3 linked regions of the Mus musculus genome follow. The protein of the gene in region 2 interacts with the protein of the main gene of each other region in a pairwise test. Links are inferred from orthologs where the notes say so. Each region holds a gene or a part of one and is shown on either strand. Other genes may lie near its edges.

Evidence for each region. The genes of interacting proteins can lie anywhere in the genome.
Region 1: the proteins of Zcchc10 (region 2) and Prr13 interact in binary tests that used the Homo sapiens proteins (3 or more experiments, as listed by UniProt). The two-hybrid records come from large-scale screens. The link is inferred for Mus musculus from reciprocal best matches to the Homo sapiens genes ZCCHC10 and PRR13.
Region 3: the proteins of Zcchc10 (region 2) and Sfmbt1 interact in binary tests that used the Homo sapiens proteins (3 or more experiments, as listed by UniProt). The two-hybrid records come from large-scale screens. The link is inferred for Mus musculus from reciprocal best matches to the Homo sapiens genes ZCCHC10 and SFMBT1.

What each region holds. Positions count from the first base shown.
Region 1 is NC_000081.6:102,457,995-102,462,012, reverse strand, and holds the start of Prr13 (proline-rich protein 13), read right to left. Parts: upstream 2,844-4,018; 5' UTR 2,758-2,843; intron 2,550-2,757; exon of another isoform or gene 2,432-2,549; intron 1,906-2,431; 5' UTR 1,886-1,905; coding exon 1,867-1,885; intron 1,644-1,866; coding exon 1,294-1,643; intron 1-1,293. UniProt on the Homo sapiens protein: Negatively regulates TSP1 expression at the level of transcription. This down-regulation was shown to reduce taxane-induced apoptosis.
Region 2 is NC_000077.6:53,323,526-53,327,500, reverse strand, and holds the start of Zcchc10 (zinc finger CCHC domain-containing protein 10), read right to left. Parts: upstream 2,813-3,975; 5' UTR 2,801-2,812; coding exon 2,760-2,800; intron 233-2,759; coding exon 74-232; intron 1-73.
Region 3 is NC_000080.6:30,714,458-30,718,457, forward strand, and holds the start of Sfmbt1 (scm-like with four MBT domains protein 1), read left to right. Parts: upstream 1-1,157; 5' UTR 1,158-1,418; intron 1,419-1,662; exon of another isoform or gene 1,663-2,131; intron 2,132-4,000. UniProt on the Homo sapiens protein: Histone-binding protein, which is part of various corepressor complexes. Mediates the recruitment of corepressor complexes to target genes, followed by chromatin compaction and repression of transcription.

The sequences.
Region 1 (4,018 bases), on a different chromosome or scaffold from region 2:
GGGAAGGTACAAGAATGGATTAAATTGTCCTCAACCTCAACACATTGCCTTCCAACCAAGTTTCCACACCTAGCTAGGACCAGGAAAGTGGAGCAGGGTGTGGGAGGCTGCTGCTACCTTAATCATCCCTCCTTGTTTGTTTTAAGGAATGACAAACTAGCCAGGTGGTGGCGCACGCCTTTAAACCCAGAGGCAGAGGCCGGCGGATTTCTTGAGTTCAAGGCCAACCTGGTCTACAAAGTGAGTTCCAGGACAGCCAGGGCTATACAGAGAAACCCTGTGTTGAAAAAAAAAAAAAAAAAAAAAAAAAAAAAAGAATGACAAACTAGAATCTCTCTGCACCTCAGGGAGGGTAGGAACGGCCACCGTGTGGGCCATGCTGTATTTCTAAGTCCCACTAGGGGAAAAAGTGGGGAAGATGGCAGAGACAGACAGATGGCTGGAGAAATCCCATCCCAGGATCCACACAGACATACCTCCATCAACTACCGTAAAAAAAAAAAAAATGTTTTTAGACTCTCGGGGTACTCTCCCTGGTTAGTGTCTCATTTCCTTCCCTACTCCCCACATGTCTACCTAAGACCCAGACTCAGGAACTAGAGCCCAGATCCACGGAGCAAACAAACACGGGCATAAAGTCTATTCGAAGCCTCAAGTTTCAGACTGAGGTCTTCCTGAGTCCTCAGGGGAACTCCCCCCCTCACTAATGGGTTCCTGTGGAAGGACTGTACTGGTCTTGTGAAGGAAAATCCCCTTTCACCCCAGGCTTTGCTGGAGGCTGAGTCACAGAAGGCTCGTCCAGGGAATTAACTCAGTACCAGGGAATACTGAAGGAGATAAAGAAAATCCAGGAACTAAGGGCCATATGACCACTCAGTAAACTATTATGCTTTGTCACTGTGCTTTGTCACTCTTTTGACATTTAGACAACCTCAGTGGGTGTGTCCAATTTACCAAAGGATACACCCGGGGTGGGTGAGGGAAGTTACTGGGAAAGAGTTAGGTAAAGAAGGTCGAGGGCTTTTGGCACAGAAATCCTCCCCGCACCCCTTCACTTTTCCTTGGCAGATGGGAGTGATCTGATGCCTCAATATTACTAAACTCCTTTCAGGAGGATCCCCTTACTTAAAGGAAAAACCATCTACATCTGCTAAAGCGACAAGGTTGCGGGCTACCGCTCCCACACACCATCGCCTGTGCCCACAAACCGTGAAAGTCCTTCCCCAACTCCTGATCACCCCTGGTCCCTCTGAACGGAGCTCCTTCCCCAGCCAGGCTCCAGATGACACTGACCTTCCCGTGCTTGTGATGCTTGTGCGACTTCTTATGAGCTTTCTTCATTTTCTTCCGAGTCTTCTTGTCTATCACGATTCCGGGACCCACCATGCCAGGAGCCGGAGGATTCACGGGGCACATGCCAGGAGCAGGTGGTGGGTATGGGGGAGGGTAGGGACCTGAGGGTTGGTATCCTGGACACCCTGGTTGTGGTACAGGATAAGGGGGACGACACGGAGGGAAAGCTGGGTTTCCCTGGGGAATTCCGGGAGGACAGGGGCCAGGGGGAAAGGCAGGATTGAGAGGTGGTGGACAGGCAGGATTGGAACCTCCTGGGCACACAACTTGGGGTGGATATGGATTCGGTCCTGGAAGAAGAATCCGAGAATAAAGATTAGAACTGTCCGGAACCTCTATCAACACATAATACAAATCACTACCGTTCTTAAGCCTTATGGAAAGGCAGAACTTGGTAACTAGCAGTGGTCCGGTGGCTTTGCTTTTGCTTGGGGCTGCGGGGATAGATAGAAACTTCCTGTTTCATTGCAAAATGGGCTGGGGCAGGTCAGAGGAGAGCCCCCAGGAACTTACCAGCATTAGGATTCCACATGTCGAGATGTTAGCTCAAGCCTAGGAAGTAAACCAGGCAAAGTCTGAAGGTTCCAGGAAGGGAGGAGGATTTTCGAGAACCCGAGCCCCACCCTACAGCCTCCACCCTACCAAGACTCTCACAGATAAACCTCCACTTAAAAATGGGCTGCACTCTGGAAACAGAGGCAGGTGGATCTCTGAGTTCCAGACCAGCCTGGTCGAAAAAGAGTTACAGGACAGCTAGAGCTACCCTGTGTCAAACCCAAAACAAAAGGAAATGAAAAAAAGTTCCCTGCTGGGCGTGGGGGTGCACACCTTTAATACCAGCACTTGGGAGGCAGAGGCAGGCGAATGAGGCCAGCCTGGTCTACAAAGTAAGTTCCAGGACAGCTGGAGCTATACAGAGAAACCCTGTCTCGAAATAACAAAAACAAACAAACAAACAAAAACAAAACAAAAAAAAAAGTTCCCTTTTTCTTTCCCGCATCCTCATAGCCTACTCTAGCCCAGGATTTAAATCACAGGAACTCTCTTCCCAGGGCCCCTCCCACTTTCACTATCTCACCTGGATGGAGAAGTCTCATTTCCCTCTCCCTGGAAAGGGACCGGAGGCCTTTAAGCATCCGTAGTGTGAGATGGGACCTAAACTCCCTGCTCGCCCCGGGGGCACCCCTGAAGTGAAGCTAAAATAAACAAATAAATAAAAATAAATAAATAAACAAACAAATAATCCCATCCTGAATATCAAGAAAGACACTCCAGGTCCCAAAACTCTTAGAACACACACACAACCCCCAAAGAGCAAATGGAGTTCTTAGTTCTCAGGAATAAATGGATCCCTGGCCCAGCTAAGAGGAGAGATGGAATTTGGGAGGCCAGATGCCCTGTCACCTTCCCAGATCGCCAGCCCGCTCCTGTCCTCCTTCTCAGTCTGGGTTCGCACTTCCTGGTCACTCCTATTCATTCTATACTTCCGCACCGCCCCTGTGACCTAGTTAATAATTATGTGATCACTTTGACACGATGATTGGAGAACTGACTTGTCAATCGCTGTGGTCCAACTAAACAAGGAGGAAACCGTTGCGCTGGCCGCCAGGCGGAGCCTTAGGGAGAAAACATTGCGTTGTGAAATACATACAGGTGAAATACGGAGACGCAGCGGAAATGCTCCTTAGGGCGGGACCGAGGCGGGGTCAGCTCCAAGCAAGGACCTGAGCCAACGAGATAAACTCTCACTGTTTTTTTTTGTTGTTGTTTTGCTTAAATTTTAAGATTTTTTTTTTTAATGTGTATGAGTGTTTTGCCTCAGTGTATGTGCACCAAGTGCCTGCTTGATGGGTAGACTTGTCTGTAACCTAGCATTTTGGAAATGGAGGAAGAGAATCAGAATTTAAAGACAATATTAGCTTCTTAGGGAACCCTACATAAAACCTCAGAGAGAGCTCTGTCATGATGGCACAACACCTTTAGTCCCTGAACTCAGGAGGCAGAGGCAGGTGAATCTCTGAGTTTGAAACCAGCATGGTCTGCATAGTGAGTTCCAAGACAGCCAGAGCCACACAGACCAGCCCTGTCTCTGACTCGGAAAATAACAACAAAAACAAACAAACAAAAAAAGGCCTCAGAGAACAAAAGGAGGAAGTTCTGCTGAGTCCCAGCCCTGGGCTTCAATGTTGCCAGCTGCTAGAACCACAGCCTGTGGTTCTTTTTTTGTAGAAAGATAAGAGACAGGGTTTCAATGTGTTCAGCAGATGGTGCAGTTATAGTTTCATGTCATTGTTCTGGGTAACTAAGTGAATTCATTTTTGGTTTTGATGTTTTTGAGACAATCTACCAGTATGACTTGGGTTGACTTTGGATGAAAAGCAGTCATCCCATATCTCTCTCTCTCTCTCTCTCTCTCTCTCTCTCTCTCTCTCTCGGGTGCTAGAAAAACAAAAGCAAGCCACAACTCTCAGAATTTTTTTTTTTTGGTTTTTCGAGACAGAGTTTCTCTGTATAGCCCTGGCTGTCCTGGAACTCACTTTGTAGACCAGGCTGGCCTCGAACTCAGAAATCCACCTGCCTCTGCCTCCCGAGTGCTAGGGTTAAAGGTGTGGGCCACCAAGCCCAGCTAACCCCAGCACTTTGCAGATAGGGCTTACAGGATCCT
Region 2 (3,975 bases):
GACAGCAAACTTGAGGTCAGCTGATTCTGTAAATATTTTTATAAGTTCCCCTGGATATTACATGTAAACCTACCTTTGCAGCAATAATCTATTTTCTTTTTCTTTTAAAGCTTTCTTCAGCTCTGCCGTTCTCGAAGGTCTGTGTAGGTACTTTCTTTTCCCTTTGCATTCATAAGTCCAATGTCCAAATTCCAAGCATTTCTGACATCTTACATGTTGCTTATTGGCTTCACTACAAAGAAAATAACAGAATACAAGCCTTAAGTTTTGTCTTGGGACACTTTCTGACCTGGAAGAGCATTAAAGTATCACGTGATGTTGACTCTAGCAAGCACACAAACGGTGTTCAAAGCGTGCAACCTGGGGCGCAACAGGAACTGAGTCTTGCTCTTCTAAGCCCAGTCCGGTATTTCATGCTTATAGTCTTTCACTTTGCAGGCCAATGTGGGAGGATGGCTCTGAGTTTAAAGTTAGCCTGAGCTACAGAGCAAGAGACCCTGTCTCAACAAAGCAAAATAATAAAAACAAAAATTTTGGGCTGGTGAGATGGCTCAGTGGGTTAGAGCACCTGACTGCTCTTCCGAAGGTCCAGAGTTCAAATCCCAGCAACCACATGGTGGCTCACAACCATCCGTAACGAGATCTGACTCCCTCTTCTGGAGTGTCTGAAGACAGCTACAATGTACTTACATATAATAAAGAAATAAATCTTTAAAAAAAATTTTTTTAAGTTTTTCCATTCCAATAATCATGTATTCGGACCAACATTTTTAGCTCAGAAGACAAAGGATAATGAAGGTCCTTATTTGTTGTAATGCTAGATATCAAACTCAGAGCCTCCTTCACAAATGCTCTACTACTGAGCCAGACCCCCTAACCCATTAAAACACTTTTAAGGCTGGGAAAAGGGTGGGTGGATAAGGTGTTTGCTGTAAGCCCAAAGATCTGACCCCCAACGACTTGTCCTCTGACCTCTACTCCTATTCACACATAAATGAAAAAGCTTGTTCATTTGGTTGGTTGATTCTGCTTTTGATTTTTTTCCCTGGAACTCCATCTATAGACCATACTGGCCTCAAACTCATAGATCTACCTCTGCCTCCCAAGTGCTGGCATGTGCCACTGTGCCTGGCTATCATTCTTTTTAACTTACTAATAAAAAATGGTGGTGGTGAGACAGCTCAGTGGGTTAAAGACACTTGCCACACAATACTAGGATTAAAAGTGTGAGCCACCATACCCAGCTTGGCCTAGCCTTGAACTCACAGACCCACTTGCTTCTGCCTCCTGAGTGCTTAGATCAAAAGCACAATCCACCAACGTCAGGCCCAACACTCGGGTTTTAAACTCATAAACCACAGCTTAGGTCAAAAGCAAAGTGCGAAGCAATGCAGGTATTAGATGTATAAACTGTTTCCTTTCAGGTTCGTATTATGACTTTTGATAGGTCTGAGAAATACAACATGACATGCATGTCACACAGCCATGCAGAGTGGGTATGACATTACTGGAGGGTTTTAAGATGAAGTCTTATTATGTTGCCCAGGCTGGACTCAAATTCATGTTCAAGTAACTGGTCTCCGCCCCTTACATCGCTTACACCACTGAATGGGTAGTTATTGAGTTGGTTGGTTTTTTTTCTTTTCGGAGACAGGGTCTCCCTACACAGCTGAGGCTGGCCTGCAGTTTGCTCTTTAGATCAGGCTGGCTTTGACTCAGTGCTACTCCACCTGATTTTGCTTCTCCAGTGCTTGGATTAAAGGCATCTGCCACCAGGACTGATAGTTACTGAGATTCAAACTGGGCATGGTGGCACAAGCTTTTAATCCCAGCATACTGAAGGCAGTCAGATATCTTGAGTTCGAGGTCAGCCTGGTCTACAGAGTGAGTTCCAGGACAGCCAGGGCTACACAGACAAATCCTGTCTCTAAATCTGCCCAACCCACCCCCAAATTCTAACAGACTCATAGCAAATATACCATTTCCTATCTTTCCCCAAATCCTCTGCTGACTCAGTCCTTTCTATGGCTTTTAGTCTGTTTTCAAATGTCACCCCTCACAGATGAATTTCTAGAACTGACTTGAACTGGGCCTTTTGCCTTTCCTCACCACAGCCTCTTATCCCCTTTAAAGCTTAACTTTGTTTTGTTTTTAGAGAGACAGGGTTTCTCTGTGTAGCCTTGGCTGTCCTGGAACTCACTCTGTAGACCAGGCTGGCCCCGAATTCTGAAATCTGCTTACCTCTGCCTCCTGAATGCTTGGATGTACCATCACCATCCGGCTCCTACAAAGCTATTTAAACCACTAGCTGTACTTGTTTAGAGTATCAACAGGTTCCACAATAAAACTGTTAAGCTGCGTAGCTTGAATACATTTTTCTTCAGAGAAACTGTCTGTGAGTGATTGTACTAAAATAATTATTTACAGTGAGAGCTGCAGAAAGTGAAACGGTCGATGGGGAATTAATAGGCATTGCAGACAGGCTTGTTTCTAGAAAGGGCGATAGGAAGGAGGCAGGTACGCTGAAGAGGGAAAAGTTTGGGATCTTGAGAGGGAAGATGTGGGATCAAGCATCCAGGCTACCCTTGACATGTGGACCGGACAGAGGAACACAGACCACCCAACGACCAATTCTTGGATTCATTTCGAACTCTCTTCAAATCCCGCTCAGTTCAGCAGCCTGCGCCCGCTCACTAGCTAGCGGACAGGCGTCTGCACGCCCCCAGCCCTCCTGCACACCCCACAAGCATCTCACTTACGCTTTCCTTCGAGCTATGAGCCGATGCATGGGAGTCGCCATCTTGGAGCGGCTGGAGTCTGCCGCACGGGTTTTTGGGAAACTAGCACCGGTGGGCGGGTCCTTAGAAACCTCTGCGGTCCTGGGCGGGGCCAGACGGGCTCAATTCAGAAGAGGCTAATGGTGGCCACTAGCTGGTTTGTCTTTTCTAATGTGGGCTTGTGTGTTCAGTATGAATAGGGTCTTGAAGGGTGATCTCAAACCAGGGGTCTGTAATACATATGCAGTGGAATTTTGTAGTATTCAAAAAATCCTAAAAAAAAAAAATCCTGTAATCCAGGATTTTGGAGGCTGAGGCAAGAGGATTGCTATGTTTTTGAGGCCAACCTGGGAAAACTTATGGCCCTAGCTCAAAACCAAACCAAACAAAACCAAAAAGGCCAGGAAGTAATGGCCCACATCTTTAATTCCAACACTTGATGGGATTCACGGCCAGCCTCATCTACACAGGGAGTTTCAGGAAAACCAAGGCTGCACACACAAACTGTCTCAAAAAACAAAACACCAAAAACCCCAAGAAATTACAGGTGTCGTCATGATGACTGGATCATTCTGATTTTGTTGTTGTTTGGTTGGTTTTTTGTTTTGTTTTGGTTTTTTTTTTTTTGTTTTTGATTTTTCTTTCAAAGATCTGCGTAGAGGATTTTTTGGTCTTTTTTTGAGACAGGGTTTCTCTGTGTTGCCCTGGCTGTCCCGGAACTCACTCTGTAGACCAGGCTGGCCTCGAACTTGTAAATCTGCCTGCCTCTGCCTCCCAAGTGCTGGGATTAAAGGCATGCGCCACCACTGCCCGGCTGTGTAGAGGAATTTTAATCCAGCAACATGGCTGCTCTGGAAAGGAATCAATCATAAGTGATGGGAGTACAGACATGAGTTCCAGGCCAGCATGGTACAGAGAAAGTTTCAGGTAAAGAAATTTAGTTCCAGGTGTGGTGGCACATTCCTTTAATCCCAGCACTCAGGAGACACAGGCATGCAGATCTCTGAATTCTACTCAGTTTGGTTGAGTCTTAAGAGAGGAGGAGGGGTAAGGGGAGTGGAGAGGGAGACAGGACCAGACAGAAACACCATGTGTTTGCTTGGGATTGAACTCAGGACCTCTGGAAGAGTAGTCAGTGCTCTTAACCTCTGAGCCATCTCTCCAGGCCCCTCTTTTTTTTTTTTTTTTTTTTTAATTG
Region 3 (4,000 bases), on a different chromosome or scaffold from region 2:
ACTTTGTCTTTTCAATGGTGCTTACACTTACAAAAAGAAAAAAATCATCTGGCGTTTGTAATGTGCATATTTCCCAAGGTTGCCCAAAAACATGAGAAAGATGCTAATGGGAGCATCCCAAGACCTTCGTGTGTGTGTGTGTGTGTGTGTGTGTGTGTGTGTGTGTGTGTGTGTGTGTCTCGCCTCCTCTTCTCTAAAAGAAAGGAGTCTTCCTTGAGTAGGAGCCCCTGACTGAGGCCATCTTAGGCTGGAGAGTCTGGTCTCATTGGCACTCCGGGATCCCACAGGCGCTGGGATTTTCTTCTGAGGGAACTTTCTGGAGCAGGTGGGTGTGCTTCCTATTGACACCTGTGCTCGCTGAAGAAGGGTTGAGTAGCCGAACGTAACTGCCTGTGGGCACCTTCCGATTCGAGGCTGATTCACAGCATTTTTGAGCTTCTCCTGAAGCTCTTAGGTCAACCTGTGCCCCTTTGCGGCAGGACAACTCATTTACTGAGCCTGGACATGAGGTACGTAGAGGCGTTCGAGTCGGACTCGGTAGACGAGCACTAGAGTGCCCTGCTAGATCTCAAAGAACGTGTAGGATTCCCGACGTGGTCCGGCGGGCGGGCGCAGCTCCCTCGGCCACGGTATGCGCCCCTTGGGGACCTGCAGAACTGCTGCCTCTCTGCTAATACCATCTTGCTCGAGGTGGTCACGTGCGGGCTACAGTGGCGCGCTTCGCCAGGGACGGATGGATCAGGGACTTCGCGGGGTCCCGAGCCGCTCTGTCCAGAAGCCCGAGGTGAGGTCTTTCTTTCCAGAATCCCAAGCAAGGCCAGGACGCGCCTCCGGAGCCCGAGGACGCCGTCTCCAAGCCGTTCTCCGTCCATGGCGCCGTCGGGGATCAGAGGCTCACGCCGCGACGCCCAGCGCCACGGCCTCGCGGGTGTCTTTCGGCGAGGTGCGGACAGGGGGACGCGAGCAAAGCGGCGGGTTATGGACCCGGGCCCGCGGACGCGTCGTCTCCCGTGCAGCTCCAGCTCCGCGAGCCGGTGGGCTTGGGGAGGCCGGGTCGGGAGTGCCACGCGCGCGAAGCGAGGGGCGCGGGTTGCCGGGAGGGAGGACCGCGGAGCTGGGGGAGGGAGTGGGGGGGCCGCGGGCGCATGCGCCTTGCGTCCGTGCCATATTGGAATGAGTCGGAGCGCGGAGCGCCGCCGCCGCCGCCTCCGCCGGAGCGCGGGTGCAGGGGGGCGGGGAGAGCTGCCGGCCGCCCCGCTCTGCCGGGCTCAGCAGGAAGGAGGGCGCGAGCAGCGCGAGCGGAAAAGGCGCCCCGCGCGGGCGAGCGCCAAGAAGGAAAGAAAGAAAACCGAGCGAGCGGGCGGGCGTGCGAGCGAGCGGGGAGAGCGAGCAAGCGCGCGCGCGAAAACTCCCGTCAGGTAAAAAAAGCGGGGCGGCCGGCTGGGCCTTCCCGCGCGGCGGCCTGAGGGGTGGTGCGGCGCCCTCCCAAAGAGGCCCAGCAACTTTGCCAGCGGGAAGCGCCGGGAGCCAGCGGGCAGCGAGCGCGCGATCTGAGGCGCCAACGGGCGGCGGCGGCGCGTTGGGCGGGGGGGACGACTGGAGTGGGTGGGGGGACGCGGCGCCCGCGCGCGCGGCCTGGCGCGGTCCCGAGGCTCGGCGCGTCGGCCGGCGGGGGCTGCGGGGACGCGCCCGGGCACCTCGCGGACGCGGCGGAGGCCGGCGGCGCCGGGAGAGAGAGAGAGAGAGGGAGAACGGGCGAGCGGCGCGCGTCAGCCCAGCTGGGCGCGAGAGGCCAAAGTGGCCGGGTGGCGGTAGCGGGCTCCCAACTTGCAGGCTCCGGTCCCCTGCCCCCATCGAGCGGCCTCCCGCCGAGCCCCCGCGGACCCGCCCCCCCGGGCTCGCTCCGGGCGGGGCGCGAACCCGCAGCCCGCGCGGCCGCTCAACTTCTCAGGGCCTAGGCGGCGGCGGCAGCGGCAGCAGCAGCAGCGGCGGCGGCGACAGCAAGCGCGGTGGCCGAGTCTGAGCCTCCACCGCAACCGGTGGCTCCGGCCTCTCAGGCGCTTCGCCTGGGGAGGCACCGCCGCCCGACCCCCTGCGCGGATCTGGGGAGCGTCCTGAGGCCGCTCGGCAGGTCCGTGACCGTTTCGTTTTCTGTTCCCAAGTCTTGTTTTGTTCGCTGTAAAGACGCTGGAGGGGCGAGCCCTGTGTCCTGGGAAGCAAGGCCTGCTCTTTGCGGAGCAGAAAAGCCTTGTGAGACTCGGGATAAATTCCCGCGGAAAGGATAGACGTCGTGTTAAGTTTCCCCCCCGAGATGCCAGCTGTTCGCGTGGGGTCTCAAACTAAGCTGTCAAAGCCAGGTCATCTTTAGAGCTTGCGGTGCAGTGGGGTGGGACGCGTCCTGTAGGGCTTTTTTTTTTTTTTTAACTTGGTGGGCGCTCTTCCCCGCGGGTCACTCACAGCAGTTACTGGCCCCAAGTGGTGTGTGTCTTGTGATTGCTGTATTCATCAAAAAGATCTGAAGGAAGTAACATGGAATTAGTCATTATCTGCGTATGGCCTCTCCTGAACCGCGATTTTTAAGATGTCATACTTTATTTCATCTGAAGCAAAATGAATGCTTTGAGCGTGTAACTGTTGTGTCAGCTGTCTAGATGGGGTGGAGGAGGAGGAACGTGTTTTCGTAAGTACACATTGGGGCCTGTTAACTCGCAGCAAATGAACTCTCTTAGGCCACAGGTAGAGTCAGAGTTCAGATTTGTTTGCAGTGTCAGGAACAGCCAGTTGGAACTAGAGGGACCTGAGAGAAGGAGCCAGTTGTGTTATAAGGTTATTACTCAGTTACCATTGGCGAGCCACTTTATCTTTGGGTAGGTGTCTTACCCAGTGTAGTTTTTTGTTTTTTGTTTTTGTTTTTTTTTATCTTCCTTATTATTTGCAAAAGTGGGATAAGTAGATCACCATGCTTTGGGTTCTAAAATTTGGAGACTTCTTAAAATGAGATTTTAAAAAAGTTTTGAAAGGTTCTATCTACATAAAATCACTCACAATATGTGTCTTTTTAAAAATAGATTGGAAAAAACATCTTGTTAGCTAAATCCAGAATAATTCTGTGGACTTTATTTGAACACAGACTTTTAAAGAAGGCATTTCAATATATTTAAGAAGTTACACCTTTCACAGTTTAACAATGAAATCGGGAAAGGACAGTTCGGCCTTGTTTTACATATGCATAAGTCTTGATGGCCATATACACATTAAGATACAGAACAGAGCATTTCCAGCCCTCCCCCCACCAAGGGATTCCTCTAATTGAGTAAACACCTGCCCTTTCCCTAAGGCAACCTCTGGCCTGACTTCTAACTCAACCAATGGATCTTGTCTGAAGCAGGACCCTTTAGAACGTGAAAGGGCAGTATTAACTATTGAAGGATAGCAGGTATCCTTGGAGATGTCATTTTGGTCCTGATGCTGTACTGGTGTAGGGTTCCAGTATCTACAGGGTCTTAAGACTATGACCTTTGGTCTTTGTGGTCAGAAGGACTCCCCCCCCCCCCCAAGACAGGATTTCTCTATATAGCCCTGGCTGTCCTGGAACTCACTCTGTAGACCAGGCTGGCCTCGAACTCAGAAATCCGCCTGCCTCTGTCTCCCGAGTGCTGGGATTAAAGGCATGCGCCACCACACCACTGCCCGGCTTCAGGAGGACATTTTTAACTGAGCAGTTTTTGGTGTGTTAGGATTGTGGTTTCTGGGGGTCTTTATGTTTATAGTCGTTATATTATTATATCATTTCCCATTTTGGGATACAGATTTGTAGAGAGTAGGTTTGAAGGAAGAAATTATGAATTTTTGAACAAGTTAAGAGTTAAAGGTGTCAGATGAATTAATTTTGTTAAGCTTAGAATTTGCAAAGACAATTGAATGAAAATTGATTTTTTTAAAAGTCTAGTGAATTCATAATATGGGTATACTGCTTTAACTACCTTTAAAATGACAGTTT